Linked DNA regions of Stegostoma tigrinum. The main gene of each other region encodes a partner of the protein of the gene in region 3 in a complex. Links are inferred from orthologs where the notes say so. Each region holds a gene or a part of one and is shown on either strand. Other genes may lie near its edges.

The links.
Region 1: the proteins of beta-arrestin-1 (region 3) and metabotropic glutamate receptor 3 are in contact, whole or in part, in a cryo-EM structure (PDB 9II2), measured with the Homo sapiens proteins. The link is inferred for Stegostoma tigrinum from reciprocal best matches to the Homo sapiens genes ARRB1 and GRM3. Residues at the interface, in NP_004032.2 of Homo sapiens: Gly5, Thr6, Arg7, Val8, Phe9, Lys10, Lys11, Ala12, Ser13, Pro14, Tyr21, Arg25, Arg65, Glu66, Asp67, Leu71, Gly72, Leu73, Thr74, Phe75, Arg76, Lys77, Arg103, Leu104, Lys107, Pro133, Arg236, Phe244, Asn245, Thr246; in NP_000831.2 of Homo sapiens: Pro605, Lys608, Ala609, Ile669, Phe670, Asp671, Gly672, Val673, Lys674, Asn675, Ala677, Gln678, Arg679, Lys681, Phe682, Ser684, Cys761, Pro762, Glu763, Phe765, Val834, Val835, Thr836, His837, Gln855, Ser856, Ser857, Ala858, Ser859, Thr860.
Region 2: the proteins of beta-arrestin-1 (region 3) and ntsr1 are in contact, whole or in part, in a cryo-EM structure (PDB 6UP7), measured with the Homo sapiens proteins. The link is inferred for Stegostoma tigrinum from reciprocal best matches to the Homo sapiens genes ARRB1 and NTSR1. Residues at the interface, in NP_004032.2 of Homo sapiens: Tyr63, Arg65, Asp67, Leu68, Val70, Leu71, Gly72, Leu73, Thr74, Phe75, Arg76, Lys77, Asn245, Thr246, Ala247, Gln248, Tyr249, Lys250, Lys284, Arg285, Gly286; in NP_002522.2 of Homo sapiens: Ser93, Leu94, Gln95, Ser96, Leu97, Gln98, Thr100, Val101, Arg166, Ile170, Pro173, Lys177, Phe286, Ser287, Met288, Ala289, Ile290, Ala297, Leu298, Gly301, Ser368, Asn370.

Annotation. Positions count from the first base shown.
Region 1 is NC_081378.1:2,760,342-2,764,092, reverse strand, and holds the start of metabotropic glutamate receptor 3, read right to left. Parts: upstream 2,760-3,751; 5' UTR 2,679-2,759; intron 2,238-2,678; 5' UTR 2,086-2,237; intron 1-2,085. UniProt on the Homo sapiens protein: G-protein coupled receptor for glutamate. Ligand binding causes a conformation change that triggers signaling via guanine nucleotide-binding proteins (G proteins) and modulates the activity of down-stream effectors.
Region 2 is NC_081372.1:20,182,654-20,186,404, reverse strand, and holds the start of ntsr1 (neurotensin receptor type 1), read right to left. Parts: upstream 2,236-3,751; 5' UTR 1,818-2,235; coding exon 1,140-1,817; intron 1-1,139. UniProt on the Homo sapiens protein: G-protein coupled receptor for the tridecapeptide neurotensin (NTS). Signaling is effected via G proteins that activate a phosphatidylinositol-calcium second messenger system.
Region 3 is NC_081359.1:109,447,604-109,451,354, forward strand, and holds the start of beta-arrestin-1, read right to left. Parts: upstream 2,239-3,751; 5' UTR 1,904-2,238; coding exon of another isoform or gene 1,884-1,903; intron 1-1,883. UniProt on the Homo sapiens protein: Functions in regulating agonist-mediated G-protein coupled receptor (GPCR) signaling by mediating both receptor desensitization and resensitization processes.

The DNA.
Region 1 (3,751 bases), on a different chromosome or scaffold from region 3:
CTAGGATAACAGTCCAAGAGGAATTGTGAACCTGCAGCAAAACAGAGTCACTGAGGCCAGACATTTCCTCTTTGCAGTCACCTTATTCAGCATGGATTAAGGTTCAAACCTTGTGCTTCCTTATCTTATATGCCTCATAAGACAAACACTCTCAGCTACTATTAATTTTCTAACCATTTCTCTAATCCCATTTTATGCACATGAGTAGAAGCAGAAAAGTTTCTTTTCATGACAGCAGTTCAGATTGAGCCTGCTTTGTTGAAGGTTTGGAGTTTGATGAAACTGTCTTAAAATCAATAAATCCACATGTGTCAATGTGTTATGTTGTGTAAGATGAGAGTTAATTGCCGTTCATCCAATGATATCTGTCACTGAAAAAATAGCAAATGATCAGTTTAGTCAGATCCCATTCTAACCCAGGCTCTTTCACAAATTGCAGCCTGAGCAATTCTCTGACAAAAACACATTCTGTGCAGTGAGTTATTGTTACTATTCTATCTCTGTCAGTCTTTTATACAGTATCCAATAGATAACAACATGAGGGAACTGCACCCTCTGTAGCTCTATGAATGGGAAAGGAACATTGAAAGGTTAGTGCTTCTGTGAAACAGTCAAAGCACTGTACGAACAGATTGAAACCACAATTTAACATGACAATGTAAATTTAAAGGAAAACTTAGTGACTAGTTCATTATCCTCACTGCAGAAGATTCCACTAATTTACTGCCTTGAATTCTTCAAAGCTTGGAACAGTAGAATATAAAACCACATTACCTCATCCAAACAGCACTGAGTACTGATCTTGAAGGATGATGAAAGACTCAAACACTTTGAGGATGCTATACAAATTACACACTCCATAACTCATCTTAAACCTTTCAATGCTTATTCCTCATTCCCCACTGCTGCAGCCAAGAGTGTTCACTGCTTATTATGCTGGCACAGAACTATTCTGTAATCAAGGGCTACAAGATTAGCCCAGCAGAAATTTCTGAAATAGAGACTGGTTGGGTAATGAAAATGTTGTTAAAGGTGTGAGGATCAAAAATGAACTGTTTAGTGTTGCTGCATTTCTGAGATGATTTTAAATACAAAACTGGATAGAGCCTGCCTTAACAGAATGTCTTCTGTGAAACATTTTTAAGATCCTGACCATACTCCTCTATAACATCACTGTTTATTTATCCTGGCTTTGTGATATTATATACAACAATTCGAGGAGCCTTGTGTTTCTGCTTTTCCACCCAGACTGAATTATAGACCAAAAGCAAGCCAGCATTTGCTTGTAATTACTGACTCTTAAGTCCCAGAAACTCACTCGATATTCCCGACTGATGATGTTTTATTTTCAGGATAAAACAATTGAATGGAACATGTCCAATGCCTCAATTTACCTATTTGCACAAACATGTCTAGTAATCACTGAAGGTAACTCACATCCACCAGGTCCAAATTACCTTCATTTATTAATTAATCAGTCAAATAAACCAGAAGTGATGTTCAGTCGCTTTGTCCCTTTATGAGTACAGGCTTCAGCGTGTTTTAATAAACCAGCTGAACCAGATATTGTAAAAGCAATATAAAATATATCCAGTAGTATAGAGAACTGCATACAAAGAATGCCTTCAGCAATATGAGATGTCAGTTCTTTAAAAAAGGAAGCGTTCTATATCGAGGGTAACACTCCAACCCCGGAATGTTACCTGGACAAGGTGGGAGGGTTCAGAAGGTAGACCCCTCAGCTCGGTGGACATGCAGTTCGCCCCCGCCCCCAGTGGATTTGGCTTCACGTTGCGCGAAGTTGAAATGTAAGGGTCGTTCAAATATCGGAATTTTTTAGCAACGCGATTCCGCAAACACATGTGCAGCGTTTGCTGAAGATATCAAAGGAGGATCGCATTGCTAAAGCGAATCTATTTCCGTATGTTTCTAATAAAGAACGCATCTTCAATAGAGGACCGTCGGTTCTTCTGCATTCGTTTGAGATTTAGTGTATTGTTCAGCTTTAGCACTTGTCATTATTTGCATTAACACTGTTCAAGACAAATACAAACTCTGATGCAGATCAAAGCTGCAGCGTCTTACCGATTACTCATTCGCCTGGCTGTGCCGTTATCCCGGTGTTCCTGTAGTTACTCTGTAGCTCCTCACTGGGAATCAGGAAGCGCACAGTAGGCTTCTGGGTTCGCCAAAGTCAACTCGCAGCGAGTTCCTGATGTGGCCACGGACACTGCGCCCTGGGACATCACACAGAGAGGCAAGAGTATCAATTCAATTCAGCCCCGTCTCTCGGTTCACTCACTACAGTAACTTACCGGGGCGGGGTGTGGGGGGACGGCAGCTCAGGGGGCAGGAGGGGAGGGTAGGCAGGAGGACGCGTGGGGTGGGGCAGGAGGGGAGAAGGCAGGAGGTAGGAGGGCAGGCAGGAGGAGAGAGGGGGCGGGAGGGGAGATGAGGCAGGAGGGGAGAGGGCAGGAGGAGAGAGGGAGGCAGGATAGAAGGGGCAGGGGTGGAGAGGGTGCAGGAGGGGCGGGGGGAGAGCAAGGGGGTAAGCTGCTGGAGTGAGTCAGGGGGCAGAGGGCAGGGGAAGGCTGTTGGGTTACAGGTGATGGGGTCAGGCCCGGCAATGGGGGTCGGGCTGACCAGCCCCGGGGAGGGCAGGGGGTGTTCTGACTGACCTGCTCGCACCGGGATCGGGTCCTGGCTGTGCCGGAGCTGAGTGGCGGATGGAGCGGTTCAGCCGGAGCTTTATGGTTTTGGGGAATGGTCATTGGAGCCCGGGATGCTGCCGTCTCCTGGATACTGGCATCAATCTGCAGCTGGTTACCCAGGAAACAGCCATATGATTGGTCAGATCCTTGTATTAAAGCGGTGTTTTCCCGCCTCTCACACAGACACGGAGAGAGACAGACAGACAGACACACACACACACACACACACACACACATAGACAGAGACAGAGGGAGAGAGAGAGAGCGCTGTGTGTCTGTGCGGCTCCGGCTCGGGTCTGCTCCGCGCTCCCGGGGAGCTGCTGGCCGACACTGACCAGTATCAGTCTTAGCGGCCGGCAATCCCGCCCGGGACTCCGCACCCAGACACCGAGAGATAGAGAGAGAGAGAGTGTGTGTGAGTGTGTGTGAGTGTGTGTGTGTGTGTGTGTGAGTGTGTGTGTGTGAGAGTGTGTGTGAGTGTGTGTGTGAGAGTGTGTGAGAGTGTGTGTGTGTGTGTGTGAGTGTGTGTGTGTGCGTGCGCGTGAGAGTGTGTGTTTGTGTGTGTGTGTGTGAGAGTGAGTGTGTGTGTGTGTATCAGTGCATGTGTGTCAGTGTATGCGAGTGTGTGCGTGTGTGTATCTGTAAGTGTGTGTGTGTGAGTGTGGGAGTGTGTGTGTAAATGTGTGTGCGTGTTTAAGTGTGTGTTTAAATGTATGTGTGTAAATGTGTAAGTGTATGAGTGTGTGCATCTGTGTGTGTAAATGTATCTGAGTGTATGCGAGTGCGTGCGCGTGTGTGTAAATAAATACGTGTGTGTGTATAAGTGCGTGAGGGTGTGAGGCTGGGTTTGTGTGCATGGGACGTACCGGTAGATGCCCACACACCTACCCCCAGCCCCGCCGCTGCTGCGGGAGCTCAGACTTCAGTTTCCCTCTCCGACACGCTCTTCAGCAGGTTGAGTGCTCTATCCCCCTGACAGGGCAGCTTGCCCGTACAGTGCCTGTAGGAATATTGAGGTAGTGAGCTGGAGATGAGCAAAC
Region 2 (3,751 bases), on a different chromosome or scaffold from region 3:
CTAGCCAGCAGCTCCCTCACCCTGTGAATGAATAAAGGAAAAAAAATGCAATTGTATACTGCAAAAGTGCTCATGTATCTCTCTGCATCAGATATTGCAAACCTTGACAATGAAAAATATCTAACTACTTTCAACCATATTGTCAAAGCCGCTAACTTCTCCATTTCATATTATTGTCAGCATACTGCACTTTGTGGTAGTTTTTGTTTTACATCCTCAAACAGGCAGTAACCCAGTCAAGTTATTGCCTTTTATAGAATCTGCCTGCTCTTCATTCCACTTCATACTGAAACAACAAACATCAAAGACCAACATGCTAGAAAGGCATAATACAGCATACTATTCAGTTATTCATGAAACCTTTCATACTCATGCTTCTTACCAATCTACATAATTAGCTGTGCAGATTATATTCCTAAAGAGAGATTGATTCTGCAAGTTCTGTTAGTTAAACATTCGATTTGAACAGACGAAAGAAATCTTGAAGTAATCGTACAAAATAGCATAATTTATGAGTACACTTTGTGAAAGATTCTTTTGTAGAAATAAAAGGACTTGTATTCTGATGCATACTTTTCACAGACACAATTATTAAGAAGATGATCTGACATTTTCCTGCCTGGAGGCAAATTCTGATTCATTTTAAAGAGAACGCAGTCGGGGATGAAGGTAAATCATGGCTAAACGCCAAAATCTATTCCTTTCTCTTTGAAATTACCTATTTCAAAGTAACATACAATTCAACTTTTCAATACTAAATTGAGAGTACAGAAGCAAAATACTGCAGATACTGGTCTTTTGATTTTTTTTAGAAAAAACTTCTGGTAAAACTCAGTCGGTCAAGCAGCATTTGTGCAGAGAGTTTCAGGTTGTGACCTTTCATCAGGACTGCTTGCGGTTGGGAGACCCCAGTCCTACTTGGAAAGCTGGAAATAGCTCCTGCTTTCTGTAGACCCGTCTCTAAGGAAATCACTACACATCAAAGACAGACAATTCGAAAACCAACGCCAAATCAACAGGCCGGTGCCAGATTACAGAAAGGGGAAACATACTAGGGGCAATCTTGAGCATGAGTTAAATTAGTTTGCTCTGAACTATATTCACGGCCAGTGCAGGCGTATAGACAGCCAGTTGCTCACCTGGATGACTGTTTTGACAGTCGATTCGTTCACAATAGTGGTGCAGATCAAATCATTTGGATCAGGGTCTGTGGTCCCGTATTTTTCACCCATGGTGAATGTCATCGGGGTGGCCAGCAGGAATGAGAGGAGCCAGATCATGGAGATGAGCTTCTTGGTGCGACTGGTGGACATCAAGGTCTTGGCTTTGAATGGGTGACAGATAGCCAAGTAGCGCTCGATGCTCAGGCTGGCGATATTGAACGCTGTGGCGTAGGTACAGGCGTCCCGGAGGAAATAGTAACCCCGGCAGATGGCATCCCCGAACGCCCAGGGGTGATGCACCCAGATGAAGTTGTAGAGTTCGATGGGCATGCACAGGAACAGGGTGAGGAGGTCCGAGAAAGCCAGGCTGGCCAGGTGGTAATGCACGGTGCTCTGTAAGTTCTGCAAAGTCTTCTTCCTGACCAGGGTGTGCAGAGTGATCGAGTTTCCCAGCGAGCCAAGGAAGAAGAGGCCGAGGTACAGCAGAGTGACGACCACCTTGGAATAGATGTCAGTGTTCACATCTAGATCGCTGTCCCCGGCTCCTGGTTGCTCCTGGGTGACATTCTTAATCCCAAATCCAGCCAGATGGTCAGCTGGCAACCCATTCAGACCATCGTGCCTCTCCAAACTGGTGTTTAAGACAAGGCTCATTTTCAGTGTGTGTGTGCGTGTGTGTGTGTGTGAGAGAGAGATAGTGTGGGCTGCAGTCGGGACCAGTCCGAGTGCTCAGCCTGATCCCAGCGCCCGGGAGTGTACTGGTTGCTGGCGAATGGAGCAGGACCTTTTATAGGTTCGGTTGCCCCTCGAGGATCTTTCTCGGAAGGTGACGCACTGAGCGGAGGGACTGGGCCAAAATAATTGGCCAAATGGCTCAGATTCTGCGCTTTTAAGCAATACATTGACCGGAATTCATATTGGTTAGACGCTGTAACCGAGTTGGATGGGGCAGCTACAACAGACGAGCAAGATAGAAAGTGCATTGTTTGCGGACAATTTGACATTGCTTTGCTTTTGGGATGGAGTGCGGATTGTGAGGGGAGGGGGCGTGATATCCCCATGTGAGATTTGTTTCCCCGGGTATTTTTGTTTTAGCACAGTCAGTCACTAGTCGCCACCTGCTTGTATGTATATCCAGTTCCCAGGCTCTGCTGAAATCACCCCTAAACATTCTCCGCGGCACAAGTCTATTTTAGTCGCATTTCTTGCTTCAGGTTTTGGATTTCCGAATTGTTCTTCCTACGTTATTTAAGCGAATTCCGAAGGAGCTGGTGCTGACCATGTTTCAGACACCGGGGATGGTGGAGGGGAATATTTTGCCAGAATAAATGTCTGGGAATTCCGCCGTCCGCAACACTTGCCTCCCCCGAGCCCTTCACTCTCACCGAGCTAACATTTCGGGTAAATTGACTTGTTGCAAATCGCTTTCAAGATCACGAAGTGCGTTCGGAAGTTGGGCTGCATCAGATCTCGAGCTTCCTGTGAAATACTCAAGCTTGGGAAAAGTGCCGCCGGTTTTACACTGATAGGGAATCCGCTGGCGGAGGGTGGAAAATGGAACAGTTTGTAAATGCCGCAGCAGTTTCTGTGTCTAGAAAACGTTTTGTATGGAAGCGCCGGGAAAATCCAGCGAGGGATGAAGCTCTGAGCTCCTTCCGCCTTGAGAAATAGAGATAGCCCTTCGCTTTGCTTTCTGGCTCCGCCAATTCACTCTCAAATATGGGGACGATATCAGTTTCAACCATCCAGGCAGTGCTCACGCTTTCTGGGCGGAACTGTAGTTTTCTCCCACCACGGTTTTGAGAGCAGCTAACAGGAGGTAGGTTTTAAAAAAGCCTCCTTATAATAATCCGCTCTCCTGATTATATGCAAGTCGTGGGTGAAAAACCGAGATGGGGATTCGATAGCTGAGTTTGGAGATTAAAGAAAAACCTAATGTAGTTCAAGGTGGGGACTCGTACAGATGAAAGCCCACCTTTATTTTCCAGATGTTAACACCACCTCTGAATAACTAGCATTACAATAAAGGTATTTAATCGCTTTACAGCCCGCAGAAATATGCTTTGATACCAATTCTCTGGCGTGAGCTATTTACCTCCCAAATTTTGGAACATACTCATTTTCCCCAGACAAATCACAGACGGGTGAAGGAGCAAATTACTGCGGGTTTGAAATTCAGTAATTTCAGATACAGTGATAATCTCTACATCCCCCTGGATGGAGACAAACGCTTTTCTTTCCAAGAAAATCAATAATTTCTAGTTTTTGGAGTTTTGGGGAGGAGGGAGGTGAGAGGGAGTAGAAGAGAGAAGAGAGCTCTGCTTTAATCTTAGTTAGGCTAGGATGTTAGGCTAAGATTTTTGCTTTATTGTTTGACAGGCTGTGTTTACTGCACGATTAGACAAAAGAAACAGTGAAGATTCTTAAGTACTCAAGTGTTGCAAAAGGCCGCTGTTTCCTGATTTTAGAATTATAGACTCAGAGAATGGTTACAGACTGGACAAAGGCCATTTGACGCATCATGTCCAATATGACATGGCTGTTTGAAAGAGCAAGTCCCTTAAGCCATTTTATCCCCTTTCCCCTCT
Region 3 (3,751 bases):
ATGGTCACCTCTCATTTTTCTATATTCCAACATGTACAAGCCCAATGTTTTCAACCTCTCCTCAGTCCCTCCATACCTATTATCAACCTAGCATACTTTCTATGAATTGCTTCTAATGCCCGTATATCATTCCTTAGATAAAGGAATCAAAAACTATTCACAGTATTCCTGCTGTGGTCTGACTCATGCTTTGTGTAGTTTTAGCAAAACCTCCAAAATTGTATACTCCAATCCCTTTGAAATAAAGGCCAACATGTTATTTTTCTTCCCTATTACTCAGTGAACTGGGATGTCCATTATATCTGTCCCCACTCTTAGAATACACCAGGCAGTCAGCTTTGTTTGTTCTTCATCTTTCTCCAGTTCCTGGTTTTCCCTTCTCCCCCTTTTGTGTTTGAGAATTCATCCAAGGTCTTTTTGAAAGTTCCTCTTGAATCTGCTTCCACTGCCCCTTCAGGCAGTGCATTCCAGATCACAGAAACCCCTTGCGTCAGATAAATGTTGGCTCCTTTTGGCTCAAACCTCATCAATGTGTGGCCTTTAGGTTTGCCAATTCGACCCACCACACCAAACCACCCCCTCCCACCCCATCCCAACGGAACCAGTTTCTCCTGATCGACTCGATCAAAGTTCTTCATGATTTCAAATACCTCTATTAATTCTTCCCCCGAGCCTTCTCTTCCTGAAGGAGAACATTCTTATCTTCTTCGACCCCACTCTCTGGCTCTCTCCTGCTCTAACTCCACAAACCATGTTTGCTTCTTACGCATACCCTCATACTTTTGAATCTTGAGCTGAATGTGGAATACCCTCTCCCAGAGGAGACTCGCAGCCCGATGCATCATTTCATATCCAACATCCTCAGATTCCCCTTCACTTGGTAAAGGGAGGCAAAGCAAGTGAAGTCATAGGACAGCCTTTGTCCTTCTGGGTGTCAGGATAGATAGAGGGGCTGAATGGCCTCCTCCTGCTGTTGTTTCTCATCACAGCTGAAGGTTGGACAGCCACAAGAAAGTAATTATGTGATCCACTTGGAATCCTCAAATTGGAACATGCTGTATCCCAAAATGAGAGAGAGAGAAGAGTGGCGGGGGCGGGGGGAGAAATGGTAATCCACCGGAATATCTAAGAGTTGGCAGAACAGGAATCAAAGGGATCTAAAAACGGGAGGGGGATCACTTTCAAACAATCCTGTGACAAATCCCCATCTATCCCCACCCCACCCCACCCCGCGATCATCAAGGCTTTTAAATTGAATCCTAGTACCAGTTAACCCCAGGATCTTAGCTCAGAGTCTCATTCAAAAGCTTTTAACCAGCAGCAAACATTGCAATGGTAGCACGAAGAAAACAACATCATCGTGAAAAATTAAACTCAAAAATGCCAGAAAAATCTGATCTTCATTTATTCATGGGAGGTGAGTGTTACAGGCCAGGCCAGCATTTACTTTCCATCTCTAATTGCCCAGAGGTCAGTTGAGTATCAACCACATTGATGGCCACACTGGGTAAGGATTCCTTACTAAAAGAAAAGATACTAGTGAACCAGATGGGTTTTTAATGACAATTGTGATTGGATTCTTAATTGCAGTTTTGTTTTTATTGAATTCAAATTCCTCCTTCTGTTATGGCAGGGTTTGAATGCAGGTACCCAGCAGAATAACAGGGTCTCTGGGTAACAGTCCAGAGATAATCCCACTAGGCCACCATCTCCCCCTATGTTATTAGCAACAGACTGATTGAGAATGTTCAAGGTTTACAAATAAAGCCAGGAGACTCTCTCCCAGTTTGCATCCCAGTCTCAAGACTGGAGCTCAACCCGTTCTAACCATTCCCCTTTCCAGTTGCGTTTTAAGCATCCAATAAAACAGAAATCTCACAAACCTTGTGCCTTTGTCACTCATTATTCTGCTGCCTTTCCAGCTTCGTGGACAGAACCCCGGAATTTCAGATCAGAGCCGAGCCCTCGGAAGCTACAACTGAGATTTAATTCAGACAGCCCCTGTTTATTGCTGTCTCTCTATCGCCTTTAATCTCGTCCACTCCCACTTCTCTTCACATTCCTTTTCTTCCCGACGGCCACACACCCCTCCCTTATCTGATAATTAAACAGATAAATTTCTTTCGCGGAGGAGGGTTAATCCCAAATCCCTACTGCTCAGTTCCACCGTCATTCCTTGCTGCATATTCGACACACACACAGTCAGACTCCCTACTCCACACACACACACACAGACATCCCCACGCCTAGCTCTGCTTAAAGCCGAACCAACCATTATACAGACTGATTCGTGGGCAGAAAAGGGTTATGGTTTTGACAGCCTCCTGAATTAATACCTCACCCCCCCAGACACCCCAACTCTGGGGAAAGGAGAGTGCTAATAGATTTACAGAGAACAGTTCAGGACTGGACAGACATAACCAGACATAATAGAGGAATAGTTACCACTATACCAGATACAAGAAACAGAAAAACATTCCCTAATATGGATGGAGATTAACAAAGTGTGCAGACAGGCACATCTACAGGAATGGTAGCATAGTAGTGGTGTCAGAATCCAATAATGTATAAACATGTGCTCAGAATCCCATAGCAGTGACTGTGCAATTCAACAAATTTGTAATTGGAAACTATTGTAACCACGAAACAGCTGGATTGGAGCAAATCTGGAACTTAAAGCTGGTCTCGGTGATGATGACAGTAACACATCAGCCATCGTTGAAAAACCCATCTGGCTCGCAGATTTTCTGAAGAAGGGCCTAGACCCGAAACGTCAGCCTTCCTGCTCCCCTGATGCTGCTTGGCCTGCTGTGGTCATCCAGCTGTACACATTGGTGGCTCACTGATGTCCTTTAGAGAAGGAAATCTGCAGTCCTTATCTGGTCTGGACTACTCGTGACTCCAGACCCACAGCAATGCGTGTCCTCTGAAATGGCTGAGCAAGCCTCTCAGTTCGAGGGCAATTAGGAATGGGCAACAAATGCTGGTTGTAGCCAGTGACACCCTGAAAGAATGAAGGGGAAACTGTACCCTTTGTAGGTTATTTACACATCCACAATTATACACATATCCATTGGAAAAGTGGTGAGATTTTGCAACTGAAATATTCATGGATTCATAGAGCCATTGAGTGGCACAGCACAGAAACAGACCCTTCGGTCCAACACGTCCACGCTGACCAGATATTCTAAACTAATCTGGCCCCACTTGCCAACATTTGGCCCATCTCCCTCTAAACCCTTCCTATTTATACATCCATCCAGATGCCTTTTAAATGTTGTAATTGTACTAGCCTCCACACTTCCTCTGGCAGCTCCTTCCATTCACACACTGCTCTCTGCGTGAGAAAGTTATGCCTCATGTCCTTTTTAAATCTTTTCCCTCTCATTTTAAACCTCTGCCCCTCTAGTTCTGGACTTCCCCACTCAAGGGAAAGGATCCTTGTCATTCAATTTATCTATGCCCCTCATGATTTTATAAACCTCTGTAAGGTCACATTTCAGCCTCCGACGCTCCTGGGGAAAAAAATCCTCAGGCTATTCAGCCTCTCCCAATAATTCAAACCTTCCAAGCCTGCAACATCCTTGTAAATCTCTTTTGCACCTTCTCATATTTACCAATATCTTTCCTATAAATGGATGGCCAGAATTGTGTGCCGTATTCCAAAAGGAAAGATCTAGGAGCAGGAATAGGCCATTCGGCCCCTTGAACCTGCTCCACCATTCAATACCACCATGGCTAATCTCATCTC